Canis lupus familiaris: one gene and its partner. The protein of the gene in region 1 purifies or fractionates together with the protein of each later gene. This does not show direct contact. Links are inferred from orthologs where the notes say so. Each region holds a gene or a part of one and is shown in the gene's direction. Other genes may lie near its edges.

The links. Proteins that work in one complex are often made in the same cells at the same time.
Region 2: the proteins of PABIR2 (region 1) and YWHAE purify together in Homo sapiens (affinity purification with mass spectrometry; 3 studies listed by BioGRID and IntAct, with this or other methods). This does not show direct contact. The link is inferred for Canis lupus familiaris from reciprocal best matches to the Homo sapiens genes PABIR2 and YWHAE.

The regions. Positions count from the first base shown.
Region 1 is NC_049260.1:106,343,126-106,349,829, reverse strand, and holds the start of PABIR2 (protein FAM122B), read left to right. Parts: upstream 1-2,279; 5' UTR 2,280-3,292; coding exon 3,293-3,390; intron 3,391-5,547; coding exon 5,548-5,626; intron 5,627-6,704. Other genes in the region: protein FAM122A-like, read right to left, coding at 333-453.
Region 2 is NC_049230.1:45,481,506-45,487,626, reverse strand, and holds part of YWHAE (14-3-3 protein epsilon), read left to right. Parts: intron 1-1,634; coding exon 1,635-1,741; intron 1,742-2,413; coding exon 2,414-2,620; intron 2,621-5,700; coding exon 5,701-5,837; intron 5,838-6,121. UniProt on the Homo sapiens protein: Adapter protein implicated in the regulation of a large spectrum of both general and specialized signaling pathways. Binds to a large number of partners, usually by recognition of a phosphoserine or phosphothreonine motif.

The DNA.
Region 1 (6,704 bases):
TAAAAATCTAAGTATAATAACACTAAGAAAATAGATAATAAAATGACAAGGGAGGAGCAACTGTGAGACTTTGAAGAAAAGAGGTAGTAATATGAAACGATAACATGGATAACATGCTCAAGATGGCAGGAAGTTTGCAGGTATTGCCAAAAAAGAGGAATTCTTTAATTAAGTGTAGCTGAATGCCAGGAACTCAGAGTACATATGCAAGTTAGAATGTCAAAAGGAACAAGTACTACAAAAACAATTCTGTATACCACAGGGGCAAACACAACATTTAAAGAAATTATTTTTACTTCTTCCCATTTCTACTCACGCACTATTATACCAACCTAGCTGTGTGTCATCATCAGCTTCTGCTGTTCTGTAGCAATATGCCATGATCTCAGATTGCTGGTTTGCTTTTACCTTGCCACTTATGCTACTCTTGTCTTTGTCCCAGTCTGCTACCATCTGTGCCAGGCCTCTTACTTATAAAAGGTGTCCCACAAATATGTCATAATCAGTTGTTTACTAGTCGTCATGGCAACTTTAAAGCAAATTTTCCTTATCACAAAAGCAAATCAAAGGCAAGCTGAACCCAAGCCCACAAACCACAAATACCCTAAACCTCCCAAAAGATTTATATGAAGGGTAAGAGAAACTAGGTAGGCAAGAACGATATGAATAGAATCTGGAAATGATGGTCAAGGTTGCATCCATCTTCTAACATGTCTTTGAGTTTCTCCTAATTGTTAAGGTCCTGAAAGTTAGGGATTCTACTAAATCATTTGACTCCTCAGAGTTAGGAATTCTACACGTAGCCAACAAATGATTGTTTAGTAGCTATTGTGAACAATAGAATGTACTATGTTGTTTTGAGCAGATGAGGGGGTTGCTGAGACCTTGAGATGAAAAGAGCTACATAAATTGGTCAAAAACAGAGCTTGCTTTTCCAATCCAGTTGGAAGAAAAATATAGGCAATTTAAAGGAAACTATCTAAAAGTGCTTTAAAAACTCTATATTACAAGCAGTGAATATTAACATTGAGGAATAAAATGATTGGATTTGGCAAGTTTAATATGGGACAACTAAGTTGAATAGGCAGGTAAAATTATTTTTGCTAAATTAAAAAAAACATTTAATTTATTTATGAGAGACACACACACACAGAGGCAGAAACATAGGCAGAGTGAGGAGAAGCAGGATCCATGCAGGGAACCCAATGTGGGGGACTCAATCCCGGAACTCCGGGATCATGCCCTGAGCTGAAGGCAGATGCTCAACCACTGAGCCACCCAGGCATCCCTATTTTTGCTAAATTAAAAAAAATTATTTATTTATGTGAGAGAAAGTGCAAGCATGAGAAGAGGGGCAGGGCATAGGGAGAGGGACCAGCAGACCCCCCTGAGCAGGGAGTTTCACGCAGGGCTCAATCCCAGGACCCAGGGATCATGACCTGAGCCAAAGGCAGATGCCCAATGGACTGAACCACCCAGGTGGCTCTATTTTTGCTATATTTTGAAACCAATTTCATGACTATTAAATTTTCTGTATTTCTCCCTCTGTATGATTAACACAATACAATACCATCTTTATCCCATGGTTATTCAAGTAGCGAGGATTGAATGAGTTAATATTTCTAAAGCTCTTAGAATGGTGCCTAGCACACAGCAATTGCTACGTAGATATTTGTTAAATAAAATAAGTAATTCCAGGCCTCACACATGCTGAATGACTATTGTTAGGGTCTCTGTAAATCCTAGGAAGGAAAAAAAATTCTGGTTCTGCTACTTGTTCTTCAGGACTTTTCCTAATATCGTTGAAGCTGACAATGCTTGTAAAATGAAGATGGTGATTGCCACTCGCTATATGAACTCTTATTCGATTCTCTTTATTTTTACACCATTACTTTTGTTTTTTCACTTCCCTTTTGTTTAGTGCATCCAAACGGATTATCTGAAAAAAAAAATCAGCCCCTCCAAACACCAAACAAAATCAAGGGATTTAAGAAATGGGCAGAGATCACAGAGATCAGAGCAAATAAATTGGCATTGAAAAAACATGGAAACCACAAGTTTCTGTTTCCCTTGAATATTGGCCCAAACTCCTCCTGAACGGCGATGCTCCACTGTCTCCAAACTATTGGTTCTTTTCAAAATCGGGCGCCAGGGTCCCCGGGCCAATGCCAGAGAGGAAGGCGCCGGGCCCCCTGAAAACGCTCCTCCCTTTTGGAGGAGGTTTGCGGGGCGGGGTTCCCACGCATGCTCGGTGCCCGCGGGCTCATTGGCGCGGCCGCCGGGCGCGTGCGCAGGACCCGATGGGTGCCCGGACGCGGAAGACTTGGCCCCGCGGCGGTTCCCGCTGCTGAAGCGTGGGAGGCGGAAAAGGCGGCAGGTTGTAGATTTTGGTCTTGGCCCCAAGGGGTTCCCTCGGGCCATTAGAACCCAAGAGAGGAAGAGGAGGCACCGCGGCGGCGGCTGAAGGGCCGAACCCCCCACCTGTCCTCCAGGCGGGGAGGGGGGGTAGGGAGGGGATAAGCACCCCTCACAGGGCTGAGGATCCTCCGGGACCGAGTCCCAGAGCATGGGGGGCTGGACCGGGTCCCCCAGCATGGGGAACTGGAGCCGTCGAGGCCGCCCGGCCGGGCCCTGCCCAACTGTCAGCTTTTTGGTACTAGCGCTGCCTGGGCAGCTGCGGTGTTTGTAGCCCGGCCCCGGTTGAGGTCGTCGGCCAAAAGATAGCAACATGAGTTCCGCCGCTGCCTAGTTTCCTCCCCATCCTCTTCTCCCTCCGTCCGCCTCCTCCCTCCCTCCTCTTCCCCATACCTCTTTTTCTTTCCCTCTCTCGTATTCCTCTTTTCCCACCACCCTGCTCTCCTCTTCCCCCTCGGTCCTCCTCCTTTCCTCATCTTCCTTTCCCGATCCTGTCCTCCTTTTACTCTCTCTGCTTTCCTGCTTTTCTATATATCCGCTTTCCCTATCTCTTGCTCTTTTCCTTCCATCCCTCTCTTTTCCTTCACCCTCTTCCTTTATTCTGTCACCCTCCACCACCTCCCACTCCACTACCGCCCCCCTTCCTCCTCCCCTCACTCACTCTCAAGCTCCCTTCCTCATCCTCATCCTCCTTCCCTCCTCCTCCTTTCCTGCTTTTCTCCGCCCCTTAGCCCCCGCCCCTAAGCCTCCGCCCCTTAGCCCCCGCCCCCAGCTGCCAGTCCCCAGCAGCTCAGTCCTGCAGTGAGAGTCTTGGGAGTCCATAGCTAAGCACCAGGAGCTGAGCACTGTCCGCTGTGCCTGCCTGCAAGTCTCCGACATGGCTCAGGAGAAAATGGAGCTGGACTTCGAGCCTGACACATCCGATGGGGGCACCCTGAGGAGATCCAGCAGCGCTCCCCTGATCCATGGGCTCAGGTGAGGCGGGTTGGGAACGATGAAGTACAGGGTTCAGGGGCTCCTTGACCCCCTGCAAGCAATCTTCCTTCCCTAAAGTGAGAGTTGGTGCTCATCTGGGTTTTCCAAATTAAGGGCATGGGGACTTGTTTGCTCGACAGTGACTTGGGTCCCAAGGTGGAGTGAAAGTTTGACCCCAGACTCTGGGAAGTGTGGAAAAAATGGGACCCTCTTTACCTGGGGCTCTCTTGGCCCACTCTGAAAGGATCTACAAGAAGCTTCTGGATCTTGTAACAGGTTGCTTGCCCTGCCTAATTTGCACCACTGAATGTTAGCCTGAAGCCCCTGGAACTAGACTTGCAACTTGACACCTGTCTCTAAGAGCTGCTATTTCTAAGCTTAGTTTAGGAACCCTGGCATTAACGGAGCATTTACTTTAATAAATCACAATTTATCTAATAACTTGTAACAAGTGTCATGTTCATGGCACATTAAGTGATTGGGATTTGTCGTAATGTTTTCAGATCCTAAAACTGCCTGGAATGCATACCAGTGAATAAAAAACAAAAGGTGTCTCTTAGCTTAGGTCAGTGAAAATACAGGTTTTAGAAAACAATGGAAAGAATCAACCCTTGAATTTTAGTGGTAGGGTCTTGTATTTTCACGTGAATACTCACTAGAGGGTCTATTTTAAGGTAGAATCTTACAATAGTGAAGGTTAGGTTGGCAGACCTCCTGAGCCTATTACATTTCACTCCTGTAAGTAGACAATTCATCTTAGTGGAGAGCTAATTTGTGAGACCTTGTAGAAATGGAATTAGCCCAAAAAAGGGGATGGGAGTAGAATTAGCCAAAATCATTAATCAAGCACAGTGAAGGCAGAGAAATAGGTAATTTTTATCTATCAAACTGATTATAATATCTGTATTTGAGGGGAAAATGGATTTACTCATTTTCTTGTATTAAATTTTTAAACTGAGGGAATGATGGGGTGACTCTTTGCTTTCTTAATGGCTGTCCTCAGCTCTACATTTATTTTTGATACTATAGGAATAAATTGGTCTTTTGGGGTTGTCTTTTTAAATCTGGTAAGCAAGCAATTGCAAGGGACTAGGGCGATCATGCTGACCTGCATTTAGACTGTCATAGAAATAACACTGTTTTTTGAATCGAGATTTAAGTAATTACTTGCCAGGGTAGCATGATGTGACAGAAGGAGTGAGGAGACAAGACCTAGTCCCAATATCTCTCCCTAACTGTGATCATGAATGAGTCACTTAGCCATTCTAAGTGTCTGTTTTTTCATTTGAAACTTAAGACCTGAATTAGGTGATCTCATGGGTCCAGTGAAGCCCAATTCAATTCAGTCCTGAAAATTTTTCTTGGCTTCTTATCATGGGCACGGCACTCTGCTAGGCACTGCGGGGATGTTATACAAGAAGGAACAAAAGACCTCTACCATGGAATTTAAAACACACGCACACTTCTCTGTAATAAGAGGTAAAGTCGATGTCTCAAGAAGCATCTTATTTCGCATTGTGCTCTTTGGACTCAAAGGAGGGCAGGATTGCATTCGGTTTGTGGACTGAAGAGAGGCTTCATTCACAGAGGGTATTGGATTGAAATGGGTGCTCAAGGAGAGGAAGGATTTTGATTGATGGTGGTGGGAGGTAGGACATTGTGAAAGCAGAAGAGGCAACTTGAGAAAAACTCCAGGTATGTTTATTTAGTTGTACAGCAGACTCACAGGTAGAACACTTATTTAGGGCTATAGTGGGAGATGTGCTGATGGGCCCTGTACTGTAGCACAAGGCTCCCCAGCTCTTCTCATGGTCATGGCACACATAGAAAGCAGTAGTATGTTTAGGTCCTTTGGTGTAAACAGATGAGGCTGCTGGTGTCTGGTGGGAACTGGTTTGGGGGCGTGAGCTCTGACCAGAAGCAGCTGGAGGCAACCAGTTTGGAGCCCCGCCCCATACCTCTCCTAGCTTGCCCCCCAACCACTGAGGAGATCAGTATCTGGGCAAACCTGTGATCCACAGCAGAAGCTCTGAAGAGGTCAGTGAGGAGCTTATTCATTGTACAAAATGAGGAACCATGGAAGATTTCATTGTTGATCAGAGAGTTGATGGATATCTCAAATGAGAAGACACTAATAATTTTATTTTTATTTTTTAGTGATCTTTCACAGGTCTTTCAACCTTATACATTTAGAACTCGGAGGAATAGTACAACAGTTATGAGCCGTCATAACCTGGTAAGTATAGAAGTAAGTATTTTAGTGGTATGGATTGGGGAAAACACTTTCAAATGTAGTTCATTCTTAAGATGATGTGCTATGCCCCTCTGTTCACAAAAGAAAAAAATATTTTACCTGTCTTGCTCATTCTGTGGCCATTTTCAGTTTTTGGTGCAAAAAAGAGATCTGGTTAAAGTTTTTTCTTGGCTGTGGGACTTTGTATTTCTAAAGATTGTTGTTTTTTGTCACTACTTGCATCATGGTTATGAGGTAAGTCAGGATTAACCTCTAAATATAGCTGAGAAAAATGATCTTTATTTGTTCTAGAAAGCAAAAATCATTAAGACAGTAGCAGAGTATTTGTCTCTGGCACATATCTGTTGGACAGTGCTATTTATCCAAAGTAAGATCTCCTTTAAAATGCTCGTATTTATGTTCTCAGCAGAGTTGCTAATAGTGACTGTTTTATATAGCCAGAGCTGTTGGGATCACTTTATTAGTTGGTTGCATTGGGAGAAATGATGATGAGGTTTTTTATATAGTAGCACTTCACATGTGGAGCCCACTTATCCAGTAGCTGCAGTGCGCTGGAAGACATCTGAGATGTAAGCAAACAGACCTCTGAATGGCTGTGCTTGATTTCCATAGTCTGAGCATAAAGGTTCATCAGATTATTTATAGGGAGCCTCTCTGACCTCTGAATCATCTAAAATTTATGCATAATTATAATAAGCTTCCAACTCGGTAGTATGTGAGAAGCAGCAAATCAGCAGAGGTGCATTCGGGTTTAAGGTACACTAATAGCTGCTAGCAAGGGAGGAGAGGGGAAAACTGAAAAGCAGACAGAGGTTTTTTAAAAATTAGTCTGCGGCTTAGTATGAGGACGAAGAGCCTGTTAATAGACCCTGAGGGTCTCACTGGCATAGAACTGTAGAATTCTTGATGTTCTTAAAGGTACCTGGGTCATTAACCTTTCTTAAATTATACTAGTCCCTTTGCTTATATGGTATTCTACATGTTACAGAGTCCTTTCACACTTTTCATTCTCATAGCAACCCCTGTGAAGTAGGCAGGACAAAAGATGTTTTTCCCAGTT
Region 2 (6,121 bases), on another chromosome or scaffold:
TGACTTAGTGGGGAACTGAGCGAATCCAGAAATTGTCTTGTCTCTACAGTAATCGCCACTTAAAAAGCCACAAAGGAGGTAAGTTTTTCAGGAAGGAGCTAGTTTAACATAGAATCAGGATGAGATTACAGGAGAAGAGAGAGTGGGGGAATTCTTTACAGTGGAAAGGGCCCAAATAATTATGTGTGTTTGTGGTGGTATGCATTTTTAGTATGATAAATTGAGATGAGTGGCAATATTTACTTGAGTATAAGCATTTTTGGTGTCATGGTGGACTGTGGATCTGAGCCACTCAAATGATTGGCTGTTGAGCATAGTAGTGGTTAGGAATGTGAGCACTGGAGGCAGGCTGTGTCTAGGTTTGAATTTTTTTTTTTGAATTTTTTTTTAAAGATTTTATTTATTTATTCATGAGAGACACAGAGTAAGAGAGGCAGAGACCCAGGCAGAGGGAGAAGCAGGCTCCATGCAGGGATCCCGATGTGGGACTCGATCCCGGGTCTCCAGGATCACACCCCAGGCTGCAGGCGGTGCTAAACCACTGTGCCATGGGGGCTGCCCTGTTTTTGTTTTGTTTTGTTTTGTTTTTTAAGATTTTATTTGATTTGTGAGAGAGACACAGAGAGAGGCAGAGACCTAGGCAGAGGGAGAAGCAGGCTTCTCGCAGGGAGCCCGACACGGGACTCTATCCCGGGTCTCCAGGATCACACCCTGGGCTGAAGGCGGCACTAAACCGCTGAGCCACCTGGGCTGCCCTAGCTTTTTAATTTTTATTCCATCCCTTAGAAGCTGTGACCTTAGGCTTTATAGCCTACATTGGTTCAGATCCTAGCTCTCCTCCTTTTGGCTAAATACTATATAATCGTTTCCCCATGTAAATAGAGACATAGTTTCTACCTTGTTAAATATGCTAATTAAGTATGCAGCACTTGTAAATAGCAATCAGTATTATACTCAGTTCTGTAGCTAAACCATGAGGTTGTTGGGTTGGTGTGTTTGTTTAGATTTTATTTTCAAGGGCAGCCCGGGTGGCTCAGTGGTTTAGCGCTGCCTTCAGCCCGGGGTGTGATCCCGGAGACCCGGGATCCAGTCCCACGTCAGGCTCCCTGCATGGAGCCTGCTTCTCCCTCTGCCTGTGTCTCTGCTTCTCTCTCTCTCTCTCTGTCTCTCTGTCTCTCATGAATAAATAAATAAAATCTTCTTTAAAAAGAAAACGATTTTATTTTTAAGTAATCTTTATACCTCACGTGAGGTTTGAATAACTATGAGATTGAGAGTCACATGCTCCACCAGCTGAGCCAACCAGGTTGCCCGTGTGTGTGTGTGTGTGTGTGTGTGTGTAGGGGGTTGGTTTTGGTTTTTGTTTTTTAGCATGTAGAAGGAAGATAATGTCTAACCTGGAGACAGCTTTTCTCTGCTTTTTTTAAAATCAAGAGCAGGGGAGATTCAGCATTTTTTAAATTTATTTATTTATTTATTTATTTATTTATTTATTTATAAAAATTTTTAAAAAAGATTTAGATAGAGATGTGTATTCTGTTTACTCTGGCTCTCTTCCTCAAAACCAGTGGGCAAATATGTCGTAATTCATGTTACAATTAAGTAAACAAACAATTTTTTACTTTTTTTTTCAGGTTGAGACTGAGCTAAAGTTAATCTGTTGTGACATTCTGGATGTACTGGACAAACACCTCATTCCAGCAGCTAACACTGGCGAGTCCAAGGTTTTCTATTATAAAATGTAGGTTCTATACTAGAAGGGAAAATGTCAGATTAAATGTTAGCCCCCTTAGAATTATCACTTTTTTTTTGAATTATCACTTTTTTGTGTAGGTGTTCAACTTTTATTTAAGAATAATTGTTTAATGTTTAAAGGATAGTTATATGGGAGGAATGATTTTCAAAACTTAGAGTGCTCATTTGCATATTCACTGCTAATGAACAGTTATTGTTGCATTTAAGATGCTCAGACTATTTACTATAAGAGTACTAGGTTTTACCTCTTTTCATTTGTTTTTGTGTGGAGTTAACCCATCAACTGTTGCAATACATTACATAGTTCAGTTTTAATGTTTTATGTAGAAGTTTTATTTCACAATTAACTGTCATGCCATTTTTTGGAACCACTTTTTTATGTTTAATTCTAGTTGGCAATAAATTTATTGATTTTTTTTTTTTAGAGGCTTTTCAATTAATTTCTCTAAGATTTTGCTTATATTTAGTATTCTGAACTCTGAGAAGGAAAACTGAATAGTCTTTCCTGATAGAGTGAAGTTATTGAAGTATACATGCTGATTATTAAAATAATTTTTGTTACATTTCATTTTATAGATTATAGAAAAATTTTAACAGTTTACTTTCATTTAAAAAGCATTCTTCCTAATTCTATTTGTTTTATTTTGTTTTGTTTTAGGAAAGGGGACTACCACAGGTATCTGGCTGAATTTGCCACAGGAAATGACAGGAAGGAGGCTGCAGAGAACAGCCTAGTGGCTTATAAAGCTGCTAGTGATATTGCAATGACAGAACTTCCACCAACGCATCCAATTCGCTTAGGTCTTGCTCTCAACTTTTCTGTATTCTACTATGAAATTCTTAATTCCCCCGACCGTGCCTGCAGGTAAGTCATGGAAGAGAAACAAAAGTTCTCACTGGGAAAGTGAAAAACATTACAAGAGAGAATTATTTGTCTTATTTCCTGGGATTGCCTTTGTGGCCTTGGACATGTAAGAATTCTTTTGGCTTTTAATGAAACTTCTTTGGATTATTTTAAGACCGACTCTATCTCTGTTCACTAGGATAGCAGTTTTAGATTATGTTGATGGGGACAATTTTGGTTGGTAGGTTGAAATTTTAACTTGTTAGTGGGAGGGTGGAATTATTATTATTATTTTTTTTTTTAAGATTTTATTTGTTAATGAGAGACACAGGCAGAGAGAGAAGCAGGCTCCATGCAGGGAGCTTGAGGTGGGACTCCATCCCAGGACCCCAGGATCACACCCTGGACCGAAGGCAGGCATTCAACCGCTGAGCCACCTAGGTGTCCCAGAGGGTGGATTTAGAATAGAATTATTCTTTTTTTTTTAATTTTATTTATTTATGATAGTCACACAGAGAGAGAGAGAGAGGCAGAGACACAGGCAGAGGGAGAAGCAGGCTCCATGCACCGGGAGCCTGACGTGGGATTCAATCCCGGATCTCCAGGATCGCGCCCTGGGCCAAAGGCAGGCGCTAAACCACTGCGCCACCCAGGGATCCCTATTTTCTTTTTTTTATATATGAGCTTTTAGTCATTTGTAGGTATGTTAACATAGTTAGGCTCTTAGTGTACATATTTTGTATTTTCTATTCTAATATGAATAGTTTTCCATCTTTCTATGTTAATAATTCCCTCATATGTATTTTAGATTGTTGCCAATATTTGATACAGATAGAAATTTAAGGGCTACCTCTATGTACATGGCTTTTTCTTGTAAAAGTTATTGCAAAATATAACAGTTTATCACTCTAACCATTTTTTAAAGATTTATTATTATTATTATTTTAATTTTAAGGATTTTATTTATTTGAGAGGGAGGGAGAGCATGAGCAGAGAGAGGGAGGGAGACTCCCTGCAGGGCTCGATCCCAGGACCCTAAAATCATGACCTCAGCCAACAGCAGATGGTCAATGGACTGAGCCACCCAGCCACCCAAAAGATTTATTTATTTTAGAGATAATGAGTGAGTGGGGGTGGGGTGCAAAGAGAATCTCCAGCAGACTCCCTGCTGGGCTCAGAGCTGATGCAGAACTTGGTCCTATGACACTGAGATCATAACCTGAGTTGAAATCAAGAATCAGATTCTTCATGACTGAGCCACTCAGGCGCCCCTCATTCTTCTAACCATTTTTAAGTTGTATAATTGAATGGCATTAAATACACCTGCAATATTGTGTAACTGTCACCACTAAGTTATTTCCAAAACTTTTTAATCACCTGAAACAAACACTAACTGGTACCGGGTCATTGTCCAGATTCGCCCACCCTTGACCCCAGTTATTTCTACCTTTTCTCTTTGTGAATTTGCCTATTTTAGGTACTTCATATAATTGGTATAATGTATTTGTTGTTTATAGTTTACAGTCTTCAGTATGTAGGGATCAGATACTCGATGAAAGGGAGAGATTGTCCTTTTGTGAGGTGGATTCATTTGAATGCAGACCATTATTTATTCATCTAAAAACATTCTAAGGGCACCTGGGTGGCTCAGTGGTTGAGCGTCTGCCTTTGGCTCAGGTTGTGATCCCAGGGTCCTGGGGTGGAGTCCCACATTCGGCTCCCATGGGAAGCCTGCTTCTCCCTCTGCCTGTGTCTCTGCCTCTCTCTGTCTCTCATGAATTAATAAAATCTTTAAAAATAAATACTTAAAAATAAAAACATTCTAAATGCCTCGTCGAGTTTAAACAGGTACAGGTCTCAGCTGAAGAAGTTATAGCTATCTCTGTTCAGCTAATAGTATTGGTTGGGTCTTTCATTGTCATTCTCCAGTCTGCTTGTCCCACATATCACTTGGAGTTAAGTCTTCTCCATGCCTTTATTTTTATGCATTTGCTTTAATCTTAAGTGTGCATTCATTCTTTTCCCTACCCTTTAAGATGAGTTTATATTTGATTTTTCCTTTTTCTTGTCCTCTAGGGTTTCTGAAGTACTTTCTCCAGAGAAGCACTTCATACTTGTTTTATAATGGTTTTATATGTCAGTCCTCTATTTTCTAGATATTCACTGTGGACTGAGATTGTTTTTTCCCTCTCTTCTGTTTCTCCACCAGTGTTCCACATCACTTGGTATACATCATACAATATATCCAGTAAATGTTGTTTCTTTTAAATTCTAACGAATAGCTTACATACATTTTTGTGGGTTCTATATTGCCCCTCCCCCCATTTTTGGCTTCTGTTAACATTAAATTCTTCGGAAATAAACTGAACTAACATTTCATCTTTTTGCATTAAAATTTTATTAAATAAGTGAGCTGTTAATGCTTGGCTGGCTTAGTGGTTGAGCCAGATATCTGCCTTCGGCTCAAGTCATGATCCCGGGGTCCTGGGATCAAGTCCCACATAGGCTCCCCACAAGAAGCCTGCTTCTCCCTCTGCCTAGGTCTCTGGCTCTCTCTCTCTCTCTCTTCTCTCTTCTATGTATGTGTCTCATGAATAAATAAATAAAATTTTTTAAAAACGTGAGCTGTTGACTAGAACTTGGTAATACTTTTATTATGCCTATATTTTGGTTGGTTCAGGATAGAATTTATTTAGTCTATATTCTGTTTATTGATAGGCTTGTCAAAAGCCTAGTAAGAAGTGGTGTTCTGGGGTGCCTGGCTAGCTCAGTAGGTAGAGCATGTGACTCTTGACCTCGAGGTTGAGGTCATGAGTTTGAGCCCCACATGGGGAGTTTTTAAAAAAAATAATGTAGTAGTGCTCCTAACAATTTTATGCCTCCAAATTTGCTAGATTATAAAATTAAATAGAAAATTAATTTTCATCAGTTACATCTATTTTTCCTTTATTACAGTATTTAAACCCAGGATAGTATTATATACTGTGGGATAGCTGAAGAAAAAGATTGATTTCTAACACGTCATTTCTTTTTTTTTTTTCTAACACATCATTTCTGTTTTGAGGCTTTATTACTATAATATATTTATTAAATACTTTTAGGTTGGCAAAAGCAGCTTTTGATGATGCAATTGCAGAACTGGATACGCTGAGTGAAGAAAGCTATAAGGACTCTACACTTATCATGCAGTTGTTACGTGATAATCTGACACTATGGACTTCAGACATGCAGGGTGATGGTAAGGAAACTCCGAAGTTAAATGCATCTCTTTTCAGCTATTGGATATTTTTACTCTTAGGAATTCCTTGGTATTTCTTCATACTAAGCTACAGTTTAGACTCAGCCTATCCCCCAACAAACTATCAAATTTTAATTATTGTTTTTATAGCAAATGATCTCAAAGTACAATTTCCATTTGGGACTGTATGTTAATAATATAAAAGACCTCCTTGGAAAGGGGGATCTTTTTAATATTCAAAGATTTAAAAGTTAAAAGATTTAAAAGTTTTGTCTCTAATGATA